4 linked regions of the Styela clava genome follow. The protein of the gene in region 1 interacts with the protein of each later gene in a pairwise test. Links are inferred from orthologs where the notes say so. Each region holds a gene or a part of one and is shown on either strand. Other genes may lie near its edges. The genes, in order: cell cycle checkpoint protein RAD1-like; calreticulin-like; proliferating cell nuclear antigen; 3-hydroxyanthranilate 3,4-dioxygenase-like.

Region 1 (6,391 bases):
GACCAGAGCAGCTGTTGCCATCTAAATTCTGATGAAAATATGAAATTCTTATCAAACTCTATGCATGTGCAAAAATTTAAAGTTAGGCACAGCTGCGGTGCATGTATTTGTCCTGTTTTTTTGCAAATTATTTTGTATTTATGGTTTTATCAGATGTTACAAACATTAGTGTATGTAATTTGTTAATTATCCTGTAAGGTATGTAATTTATATCTGCATATTGGCTGATAAAAATAATTTATGATCTAGTGTTGGTTTTGCCACATTGATTACAACACAGCAGAGAGAGAATCGCCTTGAAAATGTGTCTGTAACATTTCTTGTGTTATATGTTCTTGTAATTGTTAGGTAATCTTTACGTAGTGTATAATTAAAAGTGGGAATTATACAATATTTTTATTGCTAATCAAATTCACTGAAGTTGGGGATTAATTGTGGACGATATTATTTTAACTATCAGTAGAGGTTGCGTGACACTAACTCCCAATCCTTCCTCAATGCCTTTGTGTATGCGTATAATGCAAGGATGTTGCGGCAGGAATAAAAATACCATGCTATACATACTCAATTTGAATTGATTAGTATGGTATTATTGTAGTTCATGTTTCATATTCATTCATCCAAATCTAATTGTTAACAGAAAAAAATGTGCCCAATCATATTTTAGGACTAAATTTACGTTACTTTATGAAATTGTTTAGGGTGCATATCCTTAAAGTGGTATCATCCTTCATTTATTACGTAAGAGGGTATTAGTTTTGGAACAATTTTTTTCTTAAATTAAGCTCAGAGTTGAAAATTTTTAGTTCTGATTATAAAGATGTATTTCATGTGGTACTGTCCTTCATTTAAATATGTAATAGGGTATTAGATTAGAAACCTTTATTTCTCAAATTAAGCTTTAGAGTTGAAAATTATTAGTTCTATTATAAAAATGAATACAACTACATAATATTCTGCTCAAAGTTGGTTATTAAAGTCTAAAAAATAAGACAATTTTTGAATTTAAATATTGATCGCTAGATTACATGTACTTTGTCATTATTAAGATTTTTTAAGCCAAGTTCCATGGTTAATTGTTTTTTGATAGAAATGCAGTCATTGATCGCTGGCAATAGTGTAGCAAGCGTAGGTTTTATTTTGTTGAATGCATTGTGCAATCATTGTTAAATCTTATCAAGTTGTTCCAATTCAAAGTGACTGAAAAGTTTTACCAAAACTTGTGCTTCCCGATGCCTTTCTTTTGGGGCCTCAATATCATTTTTTATAAAAATTGTTAGTTTTAGTCAAAAGTTTCTATTTGTTGTTTCTTTGAATGGCATCAATTATTGGTTACATACTACTTCAATGCAAAAATGTTTAGAAAATTCTGGATTCAAAATTGATTGTGCTTTGTTAACACTGGTTGTAATTTTTTTACAACTAAACATGGTATAATCAGTGCTTACAATCATTAGTAAGTGGCAAACGTTTTTCCATTTTGATTCTGGAATAATAAAAATAAAGCACAAAATCTTGGGTTGAAAATTTTGTTGTTTAATATTAGTTTACAAAAAAACTTCATCCTTTTTTCATCCTGAAACACATAAATGTCCTCTACAATCACTTTCTGAAATTTGCACACTTTATGCAATATTATATCTGATATAATATTATTCAAAAGTGTCTTGTTTATTAAGTGCATAGGTATACAATGCCATCTTAAATGTTATATTTCAATATTGCTTAAATTATAAAAAGTCTGTTTTTGACAATGACACCAATCTTATTTGAATGTTCAGTGAATCCTTTGATTTGGTATTCCATACCGTTTCACATTATTTTACATCGATGGATAATGCAAAAAATCATATATAACTAATGTTTTTGTGTTTGTGTATACACTATCTATTGTGAGTTTAAATTGATATGTTATTGACGGAGTGCAAATATGAAACACTCTATAATGGTTTCATAGTTATTTGGAGAAAATAAGTTGAATCAAGGTAATTGTATTAAAATAAAATAAGTCCTTAAAAACTTTGTCCTTAGAATTCAATTCACCCACTGAAACTAAACGCCAACAAGCATCAACAAACACAATCAAGTCATTCACTTCTAAACAATGCTAAACACATTTCCAGATTCATTCCTAAAAAAATATTTTGGCATTTTTTTCTGAAATTTTGATCCAAATTATTGCTATAAAGATGTGTCAAATTTTGTGACAATAAATTAAACTTTTATCCTGATTTTTGCATATGGATCAATATAACAGCCTTCAACGAATCTCAATATGGCATAATATTTCAACCTAAAAAATGTCCAAAATGCTATTTTGACTTATTTCACTGTCGCTTGTAGTTGTGTAATTAAATAATTGTTTCTAAATCCCAGCCATATAACCTTAGTTGAATTTATATTTAGTATAGATATAGACTAATTATGCCAATGACCTATACTTTAGTTACACTGGGTTTTTGACTGGGATAATCACTGCACGCTTTCTAGGTTATGTGCTTTGCAATACTGTAAACGGATTTTGTTCTTATTTTAGAATGATAATGTAGTAATTTTTTTCCAAACAAAGACTGCTTTTTGGGTATAAAAATAAGAAAAATGTCACACATCAGTAGGATCGCGTCTCCTATGAGCTTATGTGAAGAGGATTTATTCGATGTTGACAAAAAAGTACAAAGCAAAATTCGTCTTCTTGAACAATTACAAAAAGAATCGCCCGCTTCTTTTCTTGTTGGTACGATTGGAAAAATTAACCAAAGAATCACCAATCTTGATGAAGAATTATCAAAATATGAGAGCCAGCTTGAAATTGACAGTAGAACACCAGAGCCGCAAAAGAGAACTGAATCTTATGCTGAAAGCTATTCTCCCTCTATGAGCATTCGTGGAACAACTCCTTCAGAGAAAAAGTATGGTGCTGATGTAGAAAAACAAGCTCCTGGAACTCCAAGAGCAAAATCAAGTGACGCTCCTCGATTGGTTGAACTCCAGCAGTTCCCAGGATGGAATAAGAAGAAATGTGCTCCTCTACCGCATTCTCTACAAACTAACAAGGTGCTTGATAATGTTGTCGCTGCTCAACCAGATTTGAAACACAAAGTTGCGTTTCGTCGGGAGTTTTGCAGACTACTGTTTTCAAAAATGCAAGAATCGATACTGCAAGATGGTTTCTGGTGGTTTTTCTTGAGAAAATTTCATCCTGATCCAATCAACCAAGGCAAGCTCTTTAAAAGAATATCAACCAATTTTGTTGGTCTGTTACTCAGTGCTGAAATTCCGAAGTATAGAGATTTGTTTTTCGCTAATTATGGTACAATTCTGGCTCAATCAATTTATGCTGCTTTTTGCCTTGCATTTCCGCAGTCATGGAGGCAGTTTGACGAACCAGCGTTCAAGGAAATGTTAGCTCAAGTTTGCGGCGAATGGATTTCAGGTATTCCACCGCCACCTCGCTCTTATGAAAAATGGAATATGGCAGCTTTAGAGCCAGATGGGATGCGAAAGGAGGAAGTTATAAAAAAGAAAAAGAGACCTGATCATGCAGCCAAGTCTCTAGGTGGAAGAGCAAGTTCATACAGCTCCGCTGCTTCAACTAAAACATCGTCAATTCGATCACCGACTGGATCTCAAAAAACGCATGGATTAAGAATGCATACTGCTAAATCAGATGCTGCATCTTGTGCACATTCTCCTAAACTAACACCGCGTGTTGCGGAATTAGCATCTGAGCAAAATGCCCTTTCAACAATTACAGAAGAACCTTTGACATCAACCACTGAAAGCACTGCTGGATTAAGAACGAAGTTTATTGCACCAAAAAGCGATTCATCTTGTGCTGCTGGGCGTGCAATGGAGTTTTCAAGGAATGTCTTCAACGTGTATGGTCGCTCACCATTGCTTGTTCAATTTTCTCGTCAATATGGTTTCGAGAAAAAATCCTTTTTTGATGTATTAGTCCAGCATTCACTTATTCAAACACCACCAGCTAAAGATGCCCAAACCTATCAAGACATCATTTACGAGAGCAGAATTAAAGCATCCGCCGCAGCACAATCTTTCAAACATATTTACGAAGAAGACATGAAAGCTCACAAATCTTTTTGTGCAAAACAGCGAGAGGAATTACAAAATTTCAAAAAGAAAACGGATAAATTATTGTCGAAGCCACGTCAAGTTCACTATCTTAGTAATCTCATCTTGATGGAAATGAAGAACTTAGAAGAAGATACGAATCCGGTTGGTGCCACTGCAACAGTTCAAGCTGCTTTATCTGCAGAATCAGCTGATTAAAATGTTAGATAACATATCACTGTGCCTTATCAGTTATCTTAGTATTAATATATAAATTGTATTATGTTGTCATAGTTTTAACATCTATTGTTCACTGTAATTTTCGTAACTGCTGTACTACTACTTTACCTAAATATATCTTCAAGTGTAGTTTTAATTTTATAGTTATAATATATTTAAGTTTCATTGCCATGATTATACCATACAAATTGATACAATGTATTTTACCAAAGTTGTGTGTGCTTATTGTAGTTTTACAAGCATATAATAAAATGACATGTTTTCGAAAATTATCATAAATTCCATAAAAAGTGCTTCGTGATATTATTTTATCTAATATATCTTCAACTGTTTGTAGTTTTTTGAATGAATTTAGATTAAAATTATTCGTTGGTGCCATTGACATGATTATACAATGATGTAATTTATCAAATTTTTGCGTGCCTATAAGCCCATTGTATTGTTACAAGTATTTAATAGAATGATATTTTTTTAGTTATTATTACAAATTCCAAAAAAAGAGTACTTCATGGTATTATTTTACCTAACATATCTTCAAATGTTTGTAGCTTACCTGTTACAGCATAATTTAATGAAATGTCATTGCCATGACTATACAATGCTGTTTTTTATAATATGTTTGTGTGCTTATTGCCTATTATAGTTTTACAAGCATATAATAAAATGATTTGTTCTATTTTTAGATATTACTGTTAATCCAAAAAAGCTGTTTTACTTTATAAATATTGATAAATGGATGGCACAACGCTTGAAGATGAGGATTACACATTCCTAGCCAAACTTGGTAATGCAAGAAATCTTTCACACATTTTAAAAGCGATACATTTCAAAGATGTAGCAACTGTATTTGTAACAGAAAACGGTTTGAAAGTAACTGTAGAAGATGCGAAATGTTTGCAAGCTAATGCTTTCATTCAAGCAACTGTTTTTGATGAATATGATGTCCATGAAGAAGTAAACTTCTGTATCAATTTGAACGTTCTTCAAGAGTGTTTAACTATATTTGGAAGTAGTTCCATTATGACAACATCGTTAAAAATGGTTTATGGGGGATATGGTTCACCTCTTACTCTAACCTTAGAAGAAGAAAACATTACAACTGATTGTAGTATAAAGACGCAAGAGTCAGAAGAGACTCTAGATTTTGAATTCTGCGCTGCTAATGTTGTTAATAAAATTATAATGAAAGCTGATTGTCTGCGAGACGCTTTTAACGAGTTAGACCACACTTCTGATGTGGTTGAGATTACGATGTCTCCACAAAAACCATATTTCCGACTTTCAAGCTCAGGATATTGTGGACGAACAGATAATGATATTCATAAAGATTCTGATATGGTAGAAATCTTTCAATGCTCAGAGCCGCAGTCAAATCAGTACCGTTTATCCTTGCTAAAACCTTCCGTAAAAGCAGTTAATCTTGCAAGTAAAGTCTGTATAAGAATGGATCATCGTGGGTTTTTATCCTTCCAATACATGATCAAAAATGAAAGTGGACAAATTTGTTTTGTTGAATATTATTGTTGTCCAGATGAAAAATTTGATGAAGAAGATGTTTGACTTTAACACAAACCATTTTACCCTGTGCAAACTAGCAAAAAATATTCATGTATCTAAATATGAACCCATTCAGACCTTAAATCAACAGTATTAATAGCTGGGAAAGTACAGATGGCATCAGTAATTTTAGATTTTCACTTCATTTGTCAGTGGTTATTTAGCTTTCAATCATCAATTTCTTTTAAAATGTTGTTTATACACATAGTTCTTATTGTTTTTTACACTCTTTTCAGAATAGCATAAGCATGCTGTGTCCCATTATTAAATATCGTAATTTATTTTGTCATAAATGGACATCAAAGTTTTTTTCAATGTCCTGCGCAAAAAACAGCGTCAAAAAATCTTCAGTGATAAAGCCACAAAACATTCTTAACTTGCACAAGCGAGGACTTTTAGAAGATATTTTTCCAAATGCTTCTGTCTCATTGCCAGAGCAGTTATTAAAACAACAATGCTTTTATTGTGGCTTTGATCCAACATCCGACAGTCTACACATTGGAAATTTAATGTCTTTAATGCT
Region 2 (7,491 bases), on another chromosome or scaffold:
CTACCACGAACAGCATTTTATCAGTAACAGATACATATATATGGGTCGGTTTACATTCGTACTTAGGATTAATACACTTTGGGGCAATTTATGAATTGAGTTTATATAACAAGTTGATTCAGTACTTATTTTTTTTTACAGAATTCACAGAGGCTCGTGCACACCATCTCACGTTGAAACTGTAACTGATGTCGGCAGTGTGGAAGTGTTTGATCTCGATGATCACCATAGATGTGATTCTATATCTGCCACAGCTCAATGTACATTGCATAAACAAGACAAACACTTTGACAAAAGATCATCGGCAATAATCGTGGTAAATGCAATGCCAGCGTCAACTCAAACTGAAATTCAAGATGTATGAACAACTGAATTCACAGCAGGATTAACTTCGCTTCACAAAATTGCTAAATCAACGGCATTTCTACGACAACCGACGTCGAGGTTTGAAACAGCAGACTCCCAGCAGAACGGCGTGATCTTCAAGGCCTGCGTTAGCATATATCGAATTAGATGTAGGGTTGCCTGTATATATATATATATGTGTAATCGAATTAAATCAATGTTGTAAATCACGTTTCCATTGGTTTCAACTTTTACAATCATATGACTATTGAATCATTTTTGTCATTTTGCAATACGCATGTGCTATGTATGTTGCGTACATTTGGAAATAAATTTGAGATTTCACACACAAATAAAATCACACTTCATTTTTCTGTATGCAGAACGATGAGAGAGCAATTTTATACGGCAGTTTATCGGGTCAAAATTCCGATATGAATGATGAAAAGTGGGTGGATAAAATCGCAGCATCGTCGTATTATTAGTCCATTACTATATCACGCTGAGAAATATTACTTACGTGGTAGTAGGCCTATCTACTAAAGACGGCTGTATCGGCTAAATGTAGACCGATATATTAGGATTTTTAATCTGATCCAGAGTTTTAAAAAATAAGTTGGAATATGGATGTTGATATTATTTTTTGCTTACAGGGATAGTGTTCGCGGTATTGGCTCCGATAACTCTGAGACATGCTCTCCTTCAGCCCCGCGTGTAGAAATGAGAACAGGATTCTGACCTGTTTATCAGCCAAACTAGCTCAACTAATTTGTGTTTTTTCGCTACCAATTTTTATATTGACATCTTCAATATCACATGGTAGTTATGAAGAAATATCAATCAAACATTAGCGAATTTCCCGATGTGTAAAAGACAAAATACGATTTACATTGGCCTGCACACGCAACGCAACCTTTTTTTAACTTGCGGCACATTTATATAACTTGCCAAATTCGACGGCACACCACAACAATTATGTTCATATTTCCATCAGAGATTTGTGGTTGTTTTAATGAGCACAATCGCTATATATTAGGATCAATACGTGAAAGAGCAACTCGAAGTTCGCCGTCAACATCTTTTATGCAGGATCTTTTATCGTTATTGATCAGTAATAAAGAGGAAAAACTTTGTTCGCACATATAAGTTGTGCAAAACTGGAGCAATATTTCAATAGTTGCATTGGAAACGTGCGCCTGTATTCTTCTTTTATTAAAATTCAAAACACATCAAGTGGAATTTTGCTGAATTTCAGTCTTAGCGTCTGTCATTTCTTACTTCAACGAAATTTTCTCGAATACGCAGGAGTAATTCTTTCGTTAACATTTCAGCACTAGTTGAGAAAGGATTCCGGATCCAGTCGTATCGTTCATTGTTAATTGCGAAAAAGTACCAGTGCTTATCTTTGCTGTATTAAAGTTAAGTGCTTTTTCGCCAAATTTGACACGAAACCGTATTTCGTATTTAAGTGGCGCATAAGTTTACTCGGAACCATTGCTTCATTTGAAAGTTGCTCCCCACAAATGCAGACTGGTTTTGGAGCATCTTTGTCTCCTCTCCCCCGGGATAAATATGTAAATCCTATCCTATCCTACGTCACAAATGCACAGTGACAGAAATTTGACTTGGTGTCGCTCAAGCTAACGTAGAAACATGTTAACTTTACGTTAGTAGAGTAGAGTAGTAGACTAAATTAAAATTAACAAAGAATAAAAAAAATTGTAAAAAAGAGAGAAGAGTTGCAATTCCTGTGCGGCACACCTGGTATCATATCGCGGCACACCGGTGCGCCGCGGCACACCGGTTGCGGAGCAATGATCTAGATCAGGGGTTCTCAAACTTTTGATGTTACGGAGCCCTTGAAGAGGTTGACCATTCTTCACGGAGCCCCACAAATAAATTTTGAAAATAAAGCAGACAAAAAATACATGTTGATATTTAGTGATTAATATTCCTGAGTAAGTTAAAAATACCTTACCTAATTTAAATGCTAAAACTTTTTATTCTAAATTGCACGGATAAATTATACATATTAGGCCTGTAAATTTGACACACATATTAATGAATACTCTTTTGATATTTTGGAAGAATGAAGAAGTCGCTCATAACATGCGCGATAGCATTTTGCTGTAATCACCGATTGTTTTCGTAGCGATGCGTGTTTTTTAGTTAGACCCTAACATCTATATGTGGTGTTTATTCTCCCTAATCACACATTTTTCTTGCTTGTTCCGCGAATGCGATAATTACGTTTTTGTCTTTGTGCGTAATTGTGAGTTTAGTATGGAAAACAAGTTAATACAATATAATCATCGGCGACGAGATGCTAAAAATAATTAATAAGGGGGTGAATCAGCAACCCAAATTTCTTGATTGGAAAGCGGTATTATATAATACTAAAACGGAAGAAAACATGATAATTTTTATTTTAGCGGACTCGCGACAGATTAAAAACGCTTTTTTAGACATTGTGAATCACAAACTTTGATGTTATGTTAGGTTATCAATGGGTGTTGTACCGTAGTTACTGAAATCAATACAATAATTGTGCGCTCGAATTTTATTATTGGTGTTTTTGCTTATTAACAGTTACAGAATAACCAAGTCCGTATTTTGATCGAATATCTCGCGGAGCCCCTAGGTTTCTCTCGCGGAGCCCTGGGGCTCCGTACGGAGCACTTTGAGAACCTATGATCTATTCTAGATCACAAAGCACTTCATTTCAGCATTAGCCCATTCAACTGCCGAACTTATATTGATTCGATTGTCTGACATACATCAGCAAAATCAGAATGTGCAAACTTTGTGGTAATTGTGACAAATGCGTTCACATTTTTAATGATAATGTCACGCCTGAATCACATTGTCATAATGAATTGCGCCAAACACCTCAAAGAAAAGTTCCAAGTTTGGATATGAGGTAAGTGGCCATTTTGCATTTCGGGGTTGATTAGCTGTAAGCAACCAAGTTGCGAGAACAAGAAATATGCGCGAGATTACAGTTTTGACAGAACGAACTTTTCTACTCAAATCACATATTGAGCGGTAGAATACTGCTGATATTCTATCTTTTTGTACATCCCCATTTCTTTAGGCTATGTTTCAGTACAATTTTGTTGGAGTATAACCCAGGCTGGCACCGTAATCAACGGCGCTGACAACACAGATTGGGGAAAATTTGTACATTACATCGGGGTATGGTAACAAAGGATGCTTGGAATCGTGTCCCCGATACAGGTGACATCTGTGAAGAATCTGAACTTCGAAAAAGAGTTTAGAATTTTCTGTACATAGTGTGCGTACTTTTTATTAATCGAATTTTAGATTATGTATTATACATCTTAAAGCAGATAATTTCGGTTTGAGAAATCAGCAAAACTATGGATGGATATAGATTCGGTTCCCGTACATTTGAACCCATACTAACCCTAACCCATTGGTTTTAGCAACCGTATATAGATTCAAATGAAGTTGAATTTGCACCCACATATAAAAGCAAGACGTCTTTGTTGTGTGATATGACAATAAGCATTTATTATGATCAATTAACTGTTCTCATATTCAGCATAAAGAGATCACAAAGTGCATCTTTCCGTTCCTGTTTTCTTCCATATTAAGTGATTTTATCAGTGGCTCAGTCCGATACAAATGTAGGCTTCAGTCTGTGCGATTGGTGATACCCGCCAGCCGCCGACGTGCGCGAATACTTCCTATGCGATGGAAGTAATACCAGTCACAGATCACGGTTAACCTAATATTCCTCCGCAATGTTTATTTTATCGAATAAATACCCGAAACAAATAGGGGGAAACTCCTGCTGCCAACAATCTGCTGCGTGTATTTCCCTTCCGTCGCGCCTCGTTTCAGACCTCGTATTACGTCTGTGGCGTTGTATGATTGGAGTTTCAACCGGTGGCGTGACCAATCACAGCGAGCCAGCTCTTGTTTTCAGTGACGTAACTTTTACGTGTGCGTTCATTCAGGGTACACGCTTGCTATTGCTACAGAGTATTGCGGCAAGCTTACGCTCAGTTTTCAGCCGAATTGCCTTATAGATTCATGCATTTTAGTTGATATACAAGTGTAAGCTTGTTTAGATTTGCGAAGTATGTGACAGTGTACTTGAGTTTATTCAAATGGGCTTATTTTTCTTCTAATAATCTTTTTCACATCAACCAGGGTTCCAATAAAGTAGTAATTAGGACAATAAAAAATGAAATTCTTTGTCACATTTATATGTCTATTAGTCTTGGCCAAAGTCAATGCGGAGGTATACTTCAAAGACTATTTCACAGACGGTGAGTGTTTTCATAAAATTTAAGTTTACTGGTTTAGAAAAAGGTGACCGAAGTAAACGTCTGAACGTATTTCCCACAACAACCTTAAACCACAGTGTCGGGTGTGTTTTCAAGTAGCATTTGTCACAAAAGAATAAATTTCATTTCAAAACCAAACACGAGAAAAGATACCGAAAATACCACCTTATTTCTTGGGAAACAATTTAAAACGTAATAAAACTAAAAACTAAAAGCTTTATGCTGTTATATAGTTTCCTTGAAAAACTGATTAGAACGATAAACTCTTTATTCCTAAATATATTTGAAGTGAGTGAACTCGCGACCTTTGATCACTTTTGGGTCCGCAAGTACTCCTCAAAAATTTTTGCGGCCCTTCATCCTCGCATACTTGGACCACTCTGTCCTGTATCATTATAATTCGAAAATTTAAACGAACACAGTTCTATAACGTCAGACATAAAAATGCCTTTTAGAGAATATTAATGTGTTTTTCTCAACATTGTAACCCTGAAAAGATCGAAGTTACACTCCTATAATCTTGAAATGTTGCCGTAGAAAACCCGAAGAGACGGACAACTCACCAGAACTCTCTGTAGTCGAGTTGTCTCTGTTGAGTTGTCTGTGTAGTCGAGTTGTCCGCCTCTTATATAAAGTACCGTATAATAAATCTTCATACCATAATAAAAAACTCACTGATGGGAACCTCAAGACTCCCAATGCAACAGCCTAAGTATTTTTCTTATTATTTATAGCGGATTGGGAAGCTCGGTGGAAAGAATCTAAACACAAATCTGATTATGGAAAATGGATTTTAACAGCAGGAAAATTTTATAATGATGAAGAACAGGATAAAGGACTCAAAACTAGTGAAGATGCCAAGTACGTTAATGATAATCTTTTCATGAAGATTTTTTTCAGAAATCTGCAAATTGAGGAAAATTTAAGTCCAAAAATAATCGAGTTCTAATTTTCTGACCTTGCGTAGTTTTGTACCTCAAGTACTTCTAGCGGGCGTAGCGTGAGGATTTTGACCCTATGTCTGTATGTCAATCCTAACCCTCACTTGACTAGGCCATCCAAAAATTACGTCACTACGACGTCACAAAATTATTTGGCTACGCCCACTAGAAGCAATTGAGTTATGAAACTATACTAGACCCTAATTTTCGATTGACAATTTAATAGGCCACAGTAGTATTCAGCATGTTGAACCAAATTTATTAGTGTTGTGGTTTAAAGATTGTGTAGTTGCAAATTGTGAATAGTATACCCACCCAGGAAGATTTTGCTCGTATTCGATCTTATATGCTCTCTGTCTGTTATTTATTTTGAGTCTCGTTTGTATTGTAGTGACGTATCAAATTTTTTTATTTTAGATTCTATGCAATTTCTTCTAAATTTGACAAATTTTCCAATGAGGATAAAGATCTCGTCATTCAATTCTCTGTCAAGCATGAACAAAATATTGATTGCGGAGGAGGATATATCAAACTTTTCCCATCTGCATTACAGTCTGAAGATATGCATGGAGATTCACAATATAACATTATGTTTGGTAAGATATGACTTGACCATTGAATGCAGGGTGATGTGAATATTGTCAACTTACTGTTGTTCTTGTTGAATGAAGCCTAGCCCGGCCCAGATATTTTGAGAGCTAACTATTGTTAAATACTTGATATGGCAGTACAAAATATATCAATTGTTAGTTATTGCTTTGAATAAAGTTAGTGATAAGCTAGGTTAAAAAAAATTCTTGTTTTTGATCTTTCCTTTCTAAAATTAAATCATCATTAATAAGTATGTTTTAACGAACTTCATTGTACAATACAACAAAATATTATTGGACATTTCTTGCTGGTAATATTCATCAGTATCATTCACATACCCGGTTTGGTGATGAACATCTTAAGTGTTTGTCGTGTTACGTAATCCATATTTTTGCTAAGTGGCAATGATGTAGCAACTGAAACGTGTGTCTACGTTTTGTTCTTACCAAAATAATCTTTCATTTCAGGTCCTGATATTTGTGGGCCAGGTACTAAGAAAGTGCATGTCATCTTTCATTACAAGGGAAAGAATTTACTAATTAAGAAAGATATCAGATGTAAGGATGATGAAACTACACACGTTTACACCTTAATTGTGAAACCAGACAATACGTATGAAGTTTTAATTGACAATGCAAAAGCACAATCCGGAAGCCTTGAAACAGAATGGGATTTCTTGGAAGCAAAAGAAATTAAAGATCCTGATCAATCTAAACCCTCACAGGAAGAATGGGACGAACGTGAGAAGATCCCTGACCCAGATGCAACAAAACCAGAGGTTTGTTGGCGCTCCGGAAGTATGTGCACCAAAATGGCGCACAACCTGAATCAGAACCTGGCACACATACTATGTTCAGGTTGTGCGTCATCTTGGTGCACATTGGGAGCACTGGTTTGTCACCTGTTACCTTTCTCAACCTTCATTAAAAAAAAATTAATAAATTATTAGTATCTCAAGTCATATTTGAGCTATCCTTTTATTTTCCTTGCGGGGCCTGATGCAATATCTTTTAAAACTTCTGTTAAAAGATGCATTTTAATAATTGCAAAAATATTGCATTGCTAAAATCTGAAATTGACCTGCTTTCAACCATTGAAGACTATCGAACATTTTAATCAGTGGTCTAAATTCTCATTTTTAAGTAACAATGTTTGTATTTTTATTTACTATAAATGTCTTACATAGCATAATTCAAAAGAGATGTATATTTATTACTCTTTTCTGCTGTTTAGTATTAACTTGCATTTTTATCTGAAGGATTGGGACAAGCCCGAACACATTGTTGATCCTGATGCCA
Region 3 (6,329 bases), on another chromosome or scaffold:
AATCTGTACTGTCCTCAGGTCTGTTTATATAACGAAATTTTTCATCGGCACGCAAACGTCTATTTTGACATTGAATATTACAAATTGTCACACTCGTAAAAAACGTTGCCGACCTCTGCAGTAGCGCAACTAAATACCGATTACAAAATGCTGACAATTGAGTTCCATATGTGACATCAGAAATATCTGAATGCGACTCAATCCGTGTTGTGCAACAAAGCATTCATGTGCCATATCTCTGAAAAATTCGATTTTGTGGATGCGTAATATCTGAATACCCCCAGGTGGGGAGCTACTGGGATAATGTAACGTGGATTTATATTTGAAGTAAATTTATATTTGTTCTATAATACTCCAACAAAATTGCCGGAGTTCCTGTTTAGACAGCATTTACCGAAATACGTGACAAGAATGAATCAAGAGGATGTGGAAGATTGCCTGGTAGTAACCTATTTGTAATAGATGATGACTCGTATTGAGCTCATTCACACAAAAATTTCTCGATGTGGAAGGCCCATGAAGTTAACTTATGCAATGATATTTTGTGATCAACTGTATCAAATGCTTTCTGTAATTCTATAAAGACACAGCAGATATATATTTTGTTTATCATCTAATGGTTTGTGGAATGTTATTTGACACGAGACAGGTCTATCTAAAACTTTTTACCAAAAGATGAACAAATAAAAGTACAGGATATACAGGCATTTAAAATTGTAATTGTCATGAAACAAAAATTCGCTTTCAAATTCTGGCGCATTTAAAAGTAGACTCGGCAGAGCATGTTCGTTCGCAACGCTCAACCAAAAAGATACAATGGCGTTTCGATTGAAATCAATCATTAAAGATCGATCAGACTCTTTACATATCGTTGCAGGCTCTATATGCAGCAGTCATCACGAATCCCAGTTTGGCAAACCCTGGGCTAGGAAATAGAATTACTGCTTCAGCGGCCATATATTACGAAACGGCGGCCCTTTCAGGTAAGAACATTTCCATGCTACAAACAATGTTTGCATTCTTTACACTGATCGATGTAGTTCATAAACTTAGCACGGAGGTAGTATAGGCCCATAGGATATAACATTGGCATATCATTGTGTGAGATGGACTTGGACAATAGATGAACTTACACAATATCTGATTTGCGCTTCCGATAAGATGAATATTTTAAGCCATAATCAACACCTAACTGCAAAAAATGATAACGCTCCGAAGATATTGTTTGTTACTCGCACCTGATAACGAAAAAAGGCTGTAAATCAAATACAAGCTTATCAGTCGCCGGATCACTATTGAGCTGATAAGGACTTTTTTCTAGCATGATGACATATAAATAGGGCAATCTAATACTTAGGTACATTGCAGAATTTGACAAGCTTATAAGAAAGAAAAATAAAAAACAATGCCATCTAGAAATCAAAATGCAAGATCTACAATTTCAGCAAGCCATGCGCACCCAATTCAGCCACAGTTTACCAGCGTTATTAGCATGTTAATTCACGAATGGGATGAACAAAGAAGGCGAAGATTTGAAGCCGATGAAAGAAAAATTAAAGCAAAGACATCGAAAAGGGAAAATAAGAGCCTGAAAATACTCAAACCACTTGCGAAGAAAATAAAATCAACAAGAATTACAAAACAGAAGTATTTGATAAGGGGAAATGGAAAATATATCTCACCCAAAAGGCGCAAACGTTCAACAGGTTCGAAAATAACGAAGAAACCACATACTTGTCTTTCTCACAAGCGAGAATGATTTTAGTGTATGCGATTTGAGGATATAAACTCTCATTAATTTATTTCAGTCTCAATTGTGGTTCTGTATTCTGATATTTAATGCGAAATAAAAACTTGAATGAGTTATGTGAAGTCACATAATGCAGGAATAAAAAAATAAGGTTGTATAATGGCTTTTCCAATGTTCATATGATATTTTGTTTAGTTTGGCTTTCTCTAGACCGCCAGAAGGAAAAGTGAAGAACGATAGGATTTTCATATTGATTCCGTGAGAGGAATCCGATTATACGGATTTATCAAAATGACAAACCACTACATTTTGCTTACGCATCATTTTAGGATGGATATGACCAAGCAGATAATTGTTCCACATGTATTGAGTTTTATGAGAAAAGCAGCCCCAACCGACGACGTGAAGAGCATTCATTTTGCTCGTTACTTGCCTTTGGGCCCGCGGACATTTGAATATTTTTTCTGTGTATATATGTTGTCGCTTACGCCGTTTTAATCTAGTCGTTTTACGTACGATAGACTTCTAGTTACTTGATTTATTATTATGTAAAAAAGTGATTAGAGTTAGAATCAACAGTGGGATTTAAATTTTATGTCAGCTGGTTCCATTACAAAAGTCATATTTTTCAGCCGGTTCTGTTACAAAAAGTCATAATTTTTTTAGCAAATAAATTCAATTTTCAGACAAACAATCACAAATGGAAAATTTCTACAATTATCAAATGTAACCCAACGTATAACTGTTACGTGCGAAATGTTACGAGACCATTTTACATTTCGAAAAAAAAACACGTGAGTTACTTGATCTCAAATATCGGTGTGTCAGATAAGATGCAAAAATCCATTGACAGTATCCAGTAGTGCTAACCGGTTTGCTTATCTCATAAAATTCCGTGAAACGGTTCTATAGAACCGGTGCAAACCGGCTAAATCCCACCACATGCTTTGAACTGGGCTAGTTCTACTTCCCCCATCCCGATTCCAAATTAGATTGTATCGAAATCCTCTATGGAATTATACGGAGGCAATTTGCGCTTTAATCTAATATAACGTTATGTAATGCCAATTCATTTCAGTCTAAATAAAGTTGATTTTTGAATATTCAAATTCAGTAAATAAACATGGAAGATGTCGAACGTTCTTTTTCAGGTCTTGGTATATACAGGCTACAAGGAAAATCAAGAACTGCTCAAATAATACAGCATTCATGCGCACTTTTAATAATATATATTACAAAAAATAAATATATATAAATAGTTAAATACTCTTTATGTTTCTGCCTATTATGTACTTTTCTAAATTTTCATTAGCCTCGAAAACCCGGGAAATTTTTTTGACTCAGTCGATAGTGAGAAATCTCTTCCACACTTTTTAAAAATGATTAATCTAAAAAGAGGAAAACGGTAATAATAAGTAAATGGATACAGGTTTTCATATATTGTATATTTGAAAATCTCGCAATTCTCTACTTTGTAATTTCGTTTTTGATAAATGAAAATATAATACATCTCCCTAAACAGGCCATAGTGTTGTTTTTCGAAATGAAATTGAAATAAGACACAGTCTTATTAGGTCTTATTAAGTCCATGCTTCCGAAAACGACAGCTATGCTCAAATATATGGACACTTCACAAGGTGTCGCTGTTTTTTATTCTGACACATAAAAAACGAATATCTTGAAGTCCACAGAAATTTTTAAATTAAGTAAAAGAATAGACTTCTGGCGAAAAATCATTAACCACTGAAAATTTCAAAGCAATTGGTCCAGTATTCGAAGAGAAAAGCGATTTTATCATGACGAAGGAGAAGAAAAACAAGATCAACAACATAATATTAAAACCAAAGCCTATATGTATATATAATACCTGATTGAAACGATCGTTATGTACAATGACGTGTCCAATAACTAACTAATCCCATACCAGACACGGAATGATAACCAGACGAGAGGCCGTGGTTCGTCATATGGTTAAGCCGTATTATAGGCTCCGCTCTCCCCCGGGATAAATACTTCTTCCTTTTTTATTCTTATTTTTGGGAAAACATGGCATTAACCAGTACAGTATTGTTCTTTTTTGCATTTATCTTTTTTCATGTCTACTTGTAAAAAATGGTGGCGCTGTTTCGTAAGAACAATTTATTGTGTTATCCATGCGTAACTTCGCCATGCTGTTCCCGCCAGAACGTTTTTTTTTCTTCCCGCTTTTTATTTCGTCTAGATTTTTTATTGTTGAGGTTTTCTTTAGTTGACAGCTAGCTGCCGATCTTCTCGCGTCGATATAGCCTCCTAACCGTTTATTTTGTTCTTTATCACCAACATTCAAAATGTTTGAAGCGCGTCTTATCCAAGGTAGTAATCTCAAGAAAGTACAAGAAGCATTGAAAGACATTGTTACAGAAGCATCATGGGATTGCACATCATCTGGAATAAGTTTACAAGCAATGGATAGTTCCCACGTCTCACTAGTGCAACTAACTTTAAGAGCAGATGGATTTGAAAACTTCAGATGCGATAGAAATCTGGCCATGGGCATCAACATGACAAGCATGGCAAAAATTATGAAATGCGCTGGAAATGACGATATTATTACCCTAAGAGCAGAAGATAATGCTGATATGTTGGAATTGATTTTCGAATCATCGAAAGGTGATAAATATTCTCAATACGAAATGAAGTTGATGGACCTTGATTGTGAACAACTCGGAATCCCTGAGCAAGATTATAGCTGTTGCGTGACACTTCCCTCCCAAGAATTCGGAAGAATCTGCCGAGATTTAAGCCAAATTGGAGAATGCGTTGTCATCACTTGTACTAAAGATGGAGTGCAATTTTCTGCAAAAGGAGACTTAGGAGCTGGAAAAATTAAACTTAAGCAAAATACTGGCTCTGATATCAAAGAAGAAGAGCAAGTGACCGTCGAAATATCAGAGCCTGTTCAGCTGACTTTCGCGATAAAATATTTGAACTTATTTGCGAAGGCATCTCCTCTCTCACCATCTGTATGTTTATCAATGTCAAACAATGTTCCACTCGTTGTTGAATACAAAGTAGCAGACATGGGTCACATCAAATATTTTCTTGCTCCGAAAATTGAAGATGAGGAAGAACAAGACAGTTGAAGAAACTTCTAGTTTTCACATACATTTTGTTCATAAAAGGAAAAACAATAGACTACTACAGTACTAGTTGGCTTATGGTCAATAAATTATACACACTGCCATAAGGATATAAATATCAGTTATGATTACTGCTCCATTGACTTTCCCATTCACCAACATCCAATTGATTACTGGATTAGATAAAATTCCATATTATGGCGATTGCTTTGTTAATATGAAAACATCATTTTCTTGATTTCTCTTGTCAATTTATCTGAACTGGCCTCATTTGACCTGCCTTCCCTCTCAACTTAACCGAAGTTACTCCAAGGTCAGCTCCATTTATGGAAGTACTCACCTCCAAAGCTATAGCTTCATCCTTCCTTTTGGTAATTATCGACACGCTGACTAATTTGTTTCTTTCATCTTGGGTTCTCAGCAGTGCAAGCTGATTGATTTGTTTTGCATTATCGAATGAAACCTCAAAAAACATCTTTGCTTTATCATGTTGGATGAATATTGCTATTGATAAAATATTAGTGGATTGAACAATTTACACTTTGGCCTTAAATATATAATATTGTTGTTTTTTCAAACTGTCTTGTATTTTGCTGTAGAGCTCTTTCTCTTAAATTAATTATTTCCAAGATTCGAATTGAATATTTGAAATTTATGTAGTGCTATTTAACTTTGTAGTGAACTTCCTATGAAAAGAAGGGTTTCGATTTATTTAATCTTGTATTATAACTCCGAATTAATTGAATTCTGTCAAATAAAAATGACAACTTTTCAACTGTCCTATCTGTATAATTATTGGTGTAAATTTTTCAATACTAACATCATGGTTTCTCTTAATAATCAACACTGCCTCTCAGTTTCTAACTTGTGTTTCATGTGTTCGTTAATACATATTTTAGAATTTCATATTGAATAAAAAATATAAAACATTGAACAACGCGAGGGTTGTGTTCGGAGCTGTTCATCTGATTATTTGGACACATTCATAACAAAATGTTTCTCTATGCTCTCACACTTCAACGAGCTAGCACAATAACGCATGCTGTCCATGGGAATTTTTCTGGCACGAAGCAGCAGGAGATTGCCCTGTCTAGAGGTAGGGCTTAGTTATAATAACTTGTGTTTTATAATGAACGTAGATGGTAACTGGTGAATTAAGAGTCTCAACGACTCTAAATCAGTGGTTCTCAACTTTTTTTCTTTCGTGGCTCATTATCAGTAGGGCACGGTTCCAATATGATGTGACATTTGGTCCAATGAAACAAAAACTATTGCGCCATGCTTGTCTCTATGATAATTTAAACCGATCGTGACTACGTCGGCTGTCATGTGACCAAAATCACGTTTTTTTGCTGATTTTTTTTCCCTTTGTGGTACTTTTTTTTAAATTGCGCTCGGAGGACCTGACTGACACGTAAGGGAGGGGTTTGCACTTACTGTTTTAATTGATTTCTATTAAT
Region 4 (7,675 bases), on another chromosome or scaffold:
AAATGTATAATATTATATGTTTATCTTTGGTATCATGAAATATATCAATAAAAAACAAAGTGAGACGACAATTTGGCGCAGAACGCCAGGAAATCACTCTTATTATCATATAATTATAATAACAAAGTCGAAAAACCATTTTGGTTTGGCTCAATAAGTTTCGATGCGGGAGGAACAAAATCATTCTGTTTCACATATTCCTCTGCAGTGGTTGATACCCGAATGACTGGACCATTGTACTATAGTTGTCGCTGGGGCGACCAATATCATTTTACTCTATTCCTGAACGATTTACTGAAAACTGTCTTACTACCGATAATACTTTCACCAAATGAACCGATCGAGATCGATGAAAATGCGCGCTTGTATACCTTGGATAACTTCGAAGCGAAATGAGTCTGTAGAGAGATTTTTAAGGAAATGTTAGATGTCAGTAGCGGCTTTTATCCAGCCTTGTTCGGAGAAAACGACACGGTTAAGATATTTTGGTATCCGCACGTAGATTGCCCCAGAGGACATTTGCACCCAAGAATGTTTAACCGACGTACTTTTGCTCCATGTATTGTACATTTGCGCTTGTGAACATTGGTATTCTCATGTATATTTGCACCCCCAGTCATTTTATCGGTTGTAGAATACCCGACATAGACTGCATGGTAACCGGCCGAGATGCCGCGGCACGCCACATATCCATTTCTAGAAGGTTCCATTACATTTGAACCCACGGCAATTGCACCTGCATACGATTGCACCTAGGGAATTTTTCTTTGCTTCACGGATATTATAACCCTAACCCATGGGTTTTAGCCTCCGCATATAGATTGAACCCGCGGATATAGGCCAACCAATGAGCATATATTGGGCCAACACATGGGTTCAAAATCAAATATACGTGGGTTCAAATGTACGGTCACTTTTCTAGAAGCATTCCTGAAAAGTAAATTCAAGGAGATGGTGAAAACTCATCTTCCTCACTTTCGCTCTTTGATGAGATGAACCGAAAACAAAAAGTACCACAGCTGGACTACGAAGCTGCACTTCATTCTTCGCACCATGCTCAGACGCTAGAAAATCTGCTAAATTGCTCTTCGGGAATTTCCGTTCGGAATCGAAACCAGCAATGGGTGCAGGGCTTATTCAAGCGTGATTGCCGCAAATAAATTTCGTAAACAACCTTCGCTCGAGCCCTATTCGCGCAGACCTTTCCACTGAGACTCGTTTTGTGATTTTAAATGAGACGAGATAATCAGCAGTACAAGTATATAAGTCAGTAAGTAGTGAAACTCAACATCCAACATTATTAGGGTCCGAGATAATAAATAGGGCATATTAGACAAATAAAGATAACAACGCGCTTGTCGTTTCTGCGGTGCCTACCGCTGATTTGCGTTCGTAAGGTATTCGTTGTTTTAGCATTGCCAACTATGGAACACAGTACCGGTACCGGCGTCACTGCAGCACTGTCATACTTCTGGAGTGGAGTGTATACTCCTCAAAGAGCGCTAATTTAGGTCATATTGTTTTAGCCTGCACATGCTGTCACGTATTGCACTATCGTCTGTCTACGTGACATAACGCTGAAGTGCAATGATTTATTAGGTATGTTAGTCGTTGGCATTGATTAACCATACAGCCCATAGGTAACTAGAAGTTAACGAGAAACAATAAAGAAGTGTTTGCAAGTAGTAAACATAAAGTAACTCCGCATTTTTAAACGTCCCTGCTGTCTGATTATTGGGGAGTAAATGTCAAACGGAAATTTGAAAAATTTCGTCTGGACAGGCATGGTGCATGTGTAGTATAGCTGACAGCAGTAACTACATGGTTATATACTGAAGTGGCTATGCAGGTGAGTGGCTACTATAAAACTTATTTAGTTGACTTTATAACTCTTTTTGACAGGGAAAACTTGGGTCTGGTATAGTTTAGTACCACATGCACTTCTAGTTGGTCTGACTCGACAATTTTTGCATATGTCAATCCTAACCCCCACCTGACTACGTCACTGAAAAATTACGTCATTTCGACGTCACAGTGGCGTAATAAGGCCCACCAAAGTATGCGAGTGGTCGCTTAAAACGCGCAGACGATCACTTGAAATCAAGCAAGTTATTTCTCTCGTTTTCTTGTCACAACGATCACGATAGGAGAAAGATCGCCAGCTTTAGCGAGTTCGTTATCGGCGGCGCAGATGCCATTTCAGGCGATCGTAATTATTATTTGGTAAGCCCTATGGTGACGACGTAGTGACGTATTTTTGGATAACATATGCAAAATTCGTTATGCTACGCCTACTAGAAGTACCTGTGGTACTAAACTATACTAGACTCGAAAACTGGGCCTAAGTAAGACTGTAAGACATTCTCAATTTTTGTACACCTTTGTCATAAAACTTAAAAATGAAAACTTCAACTCTGTAACTGCTATTGTTGTTATTGTAGGTGATGAAAAAATATTAAAATAATTTTTTATGTGTGGCATGGGAAGAACTAAGCGCAAGAGGAAAAGGAAGAAGGTATCTCAAAACCTAAATGAACAAGTCTCTCATGAAAGTGTTTACACAGAATTACTCAAATTCATGAAAGAAAAGAATTTTAAATCAAATGGGCTTGTTCCTGCAAATTTTTCTGACACTGGCCGTGGAATGATGGCGAAAAAGACCTATCAAGAAGGAGACACGCTGATATCATTACCTTGTCAAATCCTCATTGGAACAAAAAAAGCTCTGCAAGCTTCGAAATGGGCTCAATTTATGTTGTCATCTTCAAAGATGCCAAGATTCACCTCCTTACAAATTCTCTGTGTGTTTTTAATGGAGGGAAAATATAAACTTGATAATGGATTCAAATTTGATTGGGATGTTTATATAAAGACCTTGCCAAAGACTTTTCACTTTCATCATGTATTCTGGGATGCAAAGGATATAAAATTATTACCGAAAACGATCCAGAAAAAAGTGAAACTGTTGCATGAAAAGATTCGAAGTGACTATATTGCAGTAAAAGATGTATTTGATTCATATTGTGGCCAGGAAAAATTTGCATTATTGTGGGATGCGTATCGTTGGGCATGGTGTTGTGTGAACACTCGTTGCATTTATTCAAACCATGAAGAATTGAGCATCAAAAATATTTTGAAATCGCCATCTGATTATTACTACCTTGCCCCCTATTTAGATCTTTTTAATCATAGTTTTTCAGCAAAAGTAAATGGTTTTTATAATCAAATTTCCAAAGCTTACGAGATCAATACTTTACAAAGATGGAATAAATTCGAACAAATATTCATTTCTTATGGACCGCATAGCACTGAAGATTTATTCCTTGAATATGGTTTTATAGTACCTGGACAGAATCCGAATGATACTTTCAATGTTTCTTTGGACAACATTTTATCTGTGACAATGAAATTAAAAACCTTATGTTCAAAATGCCGTAAAACATTAACTTTCATTTTAAATTCTCATTATATAAATAAGGATTGGTCACTAAGTTACTCTGGGTTATCATATAATCTCTCATGTACAATATTAATCATATCAAAGCTCTATTTTCTCATAGATAAATCAAATTTTTGTAAAAATCCTAAATCTTGTTTAATAATATTACAACAAGAAAAACAACTTTCAAGTTTTATTACTGAGATTCATGATGGAAAAATTCCTTTTATAATATTATCATATGCAAATGAGATAAAAACGAATTTAATTAAGAATATGAAGTCAGAGTTTCTCGATGAGTTTAAAGAGGTTTCTGATAAAATTATTGAAGACAAAAATAAGGAACGATACCAAACTATTTCTGATTTATACCAAGTTACTTTTAATATCTTTGAAGCTGCTATGTTACATAATATAGAAGAAGCATTTGGACATTAGACTTACTTACGTTAACATTACACATCTGTGGTACAAATCTCGTGCCCACCAATAAGGGTGTACACAGCAATTTTCAAGGAGGGGGGGTCTTGATTTGCCAAGTTGGACTGTAATGGCTAGCTGGTCCGGCCAGAAAATGTGGTTTTGCATGAGGCTTTACGGTTCAAAAAGCGTTTCAAGCTACGGAAAATAATTGTTATGTATGATACCTGCAACCCTGGTACCTATTACCTTACCCAGTGTGTAAAGCAGGGGTCGGCAACCTTTTGTCGCTCGTGGGCCAAAATAATGGTTGCAAGTCATTGGCGGGCCGCAGATATATTTCTAGGAAATTGAAAACCGAACGGATGATACTTTTTATAATAAAAATGAAGGGGTGATTTCTCGAATAGAATGTAGATTTATTTCCTCTTTACATTGCATTTTCGGCACCATTGAACCCTTTGCACTTAGCATCAACTTTTCTGCATTTTGTTGTCATTTGTCTAATTATAATTAAAGTATAGGCTGATTAAACGAGTAATTGTGAATTATACTTAATATACTTGTTAGAATATAATATTATTTAGTCTACACTCTTCTCACAATGGATTGTGTAACGTGAAAAATATAATCGTCAAAACAGCTGTTTTGTTACTATAATTCAGTGAAGCGTCGCGGGCCGGATTATGTTACCCGCGGGCCGTAGGTTGCCGACCCCTGGTGTAAAGGTTAGTTAGGCTGAAACAGAAAGATTTCAGTCTTAACTTTCAACATATTCTTTGATACCAATGGCTGCTTGTAGGCTGGTAGGGCCTTGTTCAGAGCAAAAATCCTGAATAAGCATCATAAAAACTAACACTGACTATTTCTATTTTTTAGATTCCTAATTTAAATTTCTTTTTAACACAAAAATTATGTCAACTCCTGGTATCATAAACGTAGGGCAATGGATCGAAGAAAACAAGAATTCTTTCGATCCTCCTGTTTGCAACAAAATGATGTAAGTTGCCTTTTATGTGTGTTAGAATGGGTTTTGTTTCAAGTATAGGAGTTATCAAATATGTGGTTAATTTTGTCGAAAAAAAAATTGCAGTAACTTTTATATGATGACGCGTAATTTTTTTTTAAATGATCATTTTTTATATTTGCTCCATAATTGTGGAGATAAGTAACAGAGTCTGAGTGTAAATCATACTTTAATATGAGACGAGTGTATTATAAGGATAGCATCCACACATTATTTCCGGGGAGAGGAAAGTCTATAAGATGGCTTAATCATATGGCAAATCAAGTCCCCTCGTCTGGTTACCAGTCCATGTGGGGTATGGCATTAGTTAGCCAGTTATTTTGTTTTCAGATGCATGGATTTGATGGTGGGGGAGGCCATAATCGACCAGCGGTTACGTAAACTACCTCAAAGTAGCGAGGAGTTCAGCAATCCTCTCGCACATAATTTGAACCTACGAACCCACGCAGGGTAATCAGAGGTGCGGTGGCAAGTGTATTCCCATCGCTTAGCGATGATGCGTCACGCCGCCCAGTCAATTACAGATCGTGTAAATAGTGTTTCTGAATTGCTACTCTCGAAAATTCAGGGTTTAAAATAACCTCTGTCACGCTAGCGAAATCTTGCTGCCCAAAAATATGATGTCATAAAAAGTGTTTCATTATAAAATTTATGAATAAAAAATAATTTAATGGCACTAAACAAATGAAGTCTAAAATTTCGTTAGGGTTTCCGTGGCTATTGATTAGAAATACTTCGCAAAGTGGGAACACACTTTTATACCATCGTATATTTTTATGTAGGATTTCGCTGACGTGACAGTGGCTTAAAATAACCACTTCAAATTTTTAGGCACAATGGACAATTGAAAGTGATGTTTGTTGGAGGACCAAACGAGAGGAAAGATTATCACCATGAAGAGGGAGAGGAGGTTTGTGAATCTTCAAATATTTTTACTACATGGCAGGAAAGGCTTTTCAATATAACTGAGAGGCAAGAAAAGTCAATGAAATTTCATGCCCCAAGTTTTTCCCATGAACTTCAGTTACGGTATATGGAATTCACGGCGTTCTAGAAGTGTGTGCACCAGGATGGTGCACAATCTGATAACCCCAACCTGGTACACATACTATATACTCAAGTTGTGCGCCATTTGGTGCACATACTTCGGGAGCTGTTTTTCTGATCATATTGACTTGTCAAATCGTGGATCGGTCAGTGTCATTGTCTCTATGAAACTTCATATTTGGATTGTACACAGGTTCCAATCCCATACGGGAATAGTTATGTGCGAGAGGATTGCTGGACCCCTCACCACTGTAAGGTTGGTTTATGTAACCGCTGCTAGGTTACGGCTTCCTCCACTATCAAGTAGACGCTTCAAAATACAAACGAGAATATCGGTCAGAGACCGATGACTTAACATAGAAAGTTAGGGTATCCCCCAAAACAGCGCTCTTACTCTATAGTGACACCTTGTGTCCCATCACTAATTAATTAATAACTCGCTGATTATATGACATAATTCGCCCAGAATCAATGGGCTTCTGGTCCGAGATAAGATGAATGCACATGCAAAATCTGGAGCAGATTCAATTTCGCTTTCGTGAGATATCGCGTGCATCTAACAGACAAACAGACAGACATACAGACAGACGAATACCTATCAACATACTTAACAACATACTTAACAACAAGTAATAACTTTCTGACTAATCCCATACCCGACATGGACCTGTAACCGGACAAGAGGCCGTGGTTCGCCATATGGTTAAGCCGTCTTATCGACTTTCCTCTCCCCGGGATAAATATGTAAATTCTATGTAGAATTTACTACTCGACAGCTGTTTTCCTAATTAAATTGACCTAAACTTCAAATTTTGGATCAGTCAGTGTATTTGTACACTCTAACACCTTATATTCTCAGTAACTTTTGGATCTTCAGTTGTTGACTGTAACATGCTCAGAGATTAGTCTTTTCGCAGTTGCAAACCCATGCAGGGTGTCAATGCTAGCTAGCCTAGTTGAGCCTTTATTTATAATGTGCTGCTTGTAGGATGTTCATTTGTTATATTTTCAGCTTTTCTACATGGTAAAAGGTGATATGTGTCTGAAGATACTTGAGAAAGGAAAACATAAAGATGTTGTAATAAAAGAGGGAGAGGTAACCAACAACATCTGTATTTGATTACATGAATGTGTATACATTTTGTGGATTGATACGAGATTTGTAGTTCAGAGATTTTGGCCCCCGATTCAAAAAAAAAAAAAAACTACTATTATTGTTAATGAACACACTCGTATGAGCCCTCATTCTCGATCTGAGTGATTTAAAACTTTTCATAGAAAATTACTGCATATGACGATATATGCTCGTAGAACGCTGTTTAAGAATCAAATTGGGATTGAGTTTACATGATGTCGCTTTGAGCGAATCCTCATAAACACAATACTATTGTTCGTAGTAAGCATTTTATATTTATCATCTCGTTTTAGGTATTTCTCCTACCAGCCCGTATTCCGCACTCACCACAAAGAAAAGAGAACACAGTTGGTTTAGTTATTGAGAGAGACAGACTAGATAATGAGACTGACGGCCTTCGATATTACACTGGCGATACAACGCAGGTTTTATTCGAAAGATGGTTTCATTGTTATGACTTAGGATCGGAACTTGTGCCTATAATAAAAGAGTAAGTTTATTTTTATATGAATAACTTGTGTTATTCTTTCTCATGCGATGTATGCAGTGGTGGGATTCAAAAATTTTGTCAGCCGGTTCCATCACACAAAAGTCATATTTTTCAGCC

What was found.
Region 2: the proteins of cell cycle checkpoint protein RAD1-like (region 1) and calreticulin-like interact in a two-hybrid assay, tested with the Caenorhabditis elegans proteins (2 studies listed by BioGRID). The link is inferred for Styela clava from reciprocal best matches to the Caenorhabditis elegans genes mrt-2 and crt-1.
Region 3: the proteins of cell cycle checkpoint protein RAD1-like (region 1) and proliferating cell nuclear antigen interact in binary tests that used the Caenorhabditis elegans proteins (3 or more experiments, as listed by UniProt). The link is inferred for Styela clava from reciprocal best matches to the Caenorhabditis elegans genes mrt-2 and pcn-1.
Region 4: the proteins of cell cycle checkpoint protein RAD1-like (region 1) and 3-hydroxyanthranilate 3,4-dioxygenase-like interact in a two-hybrid assay, tested with the Caenorhabditis elegans proteins (2 studies listed by BioGRID). The link is inferred for Styela clava from reciprocal best matches to the Caenorhabditis elegans genes mrt-2 and haao-1.

What each region holds. Positions count from the first base shown.
Region 1 is NC_135258.1:12,550,600-12,556,990, forward strand, and holds cell cycle checkpoint protein RAD1-like, read left to right. Parts: upstream 1-4,995; 5' UTR 4,996-5,043; coding exon 5,044-5,871; 3' UTR 5,872-5,886; downstream 5,887-6,391. Other genes in the region: protein FAM227A-like, read left to right, coding at 2,599-4,290; tyrosine--tRNA ligase, mitochondrial-like, read left to right, coding at 6,117-6,391. UniProt on the Caenorhabditis elegans protein: May be a component of the 9-1-1 cell-cycle checkpoint response complex that plays a major role in DNA repair. Promotes DNA double strand break-induced cell cycle arrest and apoptosis, thereby playing a role in genome stability.
Region 2 is NC_135260.1:6,839,763-6,847,253, forward strand, and holds the start of calreticulin-like, read left to right. Parts: upstream 1-4,483; 5' UTR 4,484-4,558; coding exon 4,559-4,643; intron 4,644-5,395; coding exon 5,396-5,522; intron 5,523-6,019; coding exon 6,020-6,198; intron 6,199-6,660; coding exon 6,661-6,971; intron 6,972-7,451; coding exon 7,452-7,491. Other genes in the region: uncharacterized protein LOC120347616, read left to right, coding at 142-364. UniProt on the Caenorhabditis elegans protein: Molecular calcium-binding chaperone promoting folding, oligomeric assembly and quality control in the endoplasmic reticulum (ER) via the calreticulin/calnexin cycle.
Region 3 is NC_135262.1:17,046,851-17,053,179, reverse strand, and holds proliferating cell nuclear antigen, read left to right. Parts: upstream 1-3,915; 5' UTR 3,916-4,077; coding exon 4,078-4,872; 3' UTR 4,873-5,823; downstream 5,824-6,329. Other genes in the region: splicing factor 3B subunit 3-like, read left to right, coding at 5,863-5,965. UniProt on the Caenorhabditis elegans protein: This protein is an auxiliary protein of DNA polymerase delta and is involved in the control of eukaryotic DNA replication by increasing the polymerase's processibility during elongation of the leading strand.
Region 4 is NC_135252.1:20,678,393-20,686,067, forward strand, and holds the start of 3-hydroxyanthranilate 3,4-dioxygenase-like, read left to right. Parts: upstream 1-4,651; 5' UTR 4,652-4,773; coding exon 4,774-4,859; intron 4,860-5,717; coding exon 5,718-5,796; intron 5,797-6,945; coding exon 6,946-7,029; intron 7,030-7,361; coding exon 7,362-7,558; intron 7,559-7,675. Other genes in the region: SET domain-containing protein 4-like, read left to right, coding at 2,471-3,877. UniProt on the Caenorhabditis elegans protein: Catalyzes the oxidative ring opening of 3-hydroxyanthranilate to 2-amino-3-carboxymuconate semialdehyde, which spontaneously cyclizes to quinolinate.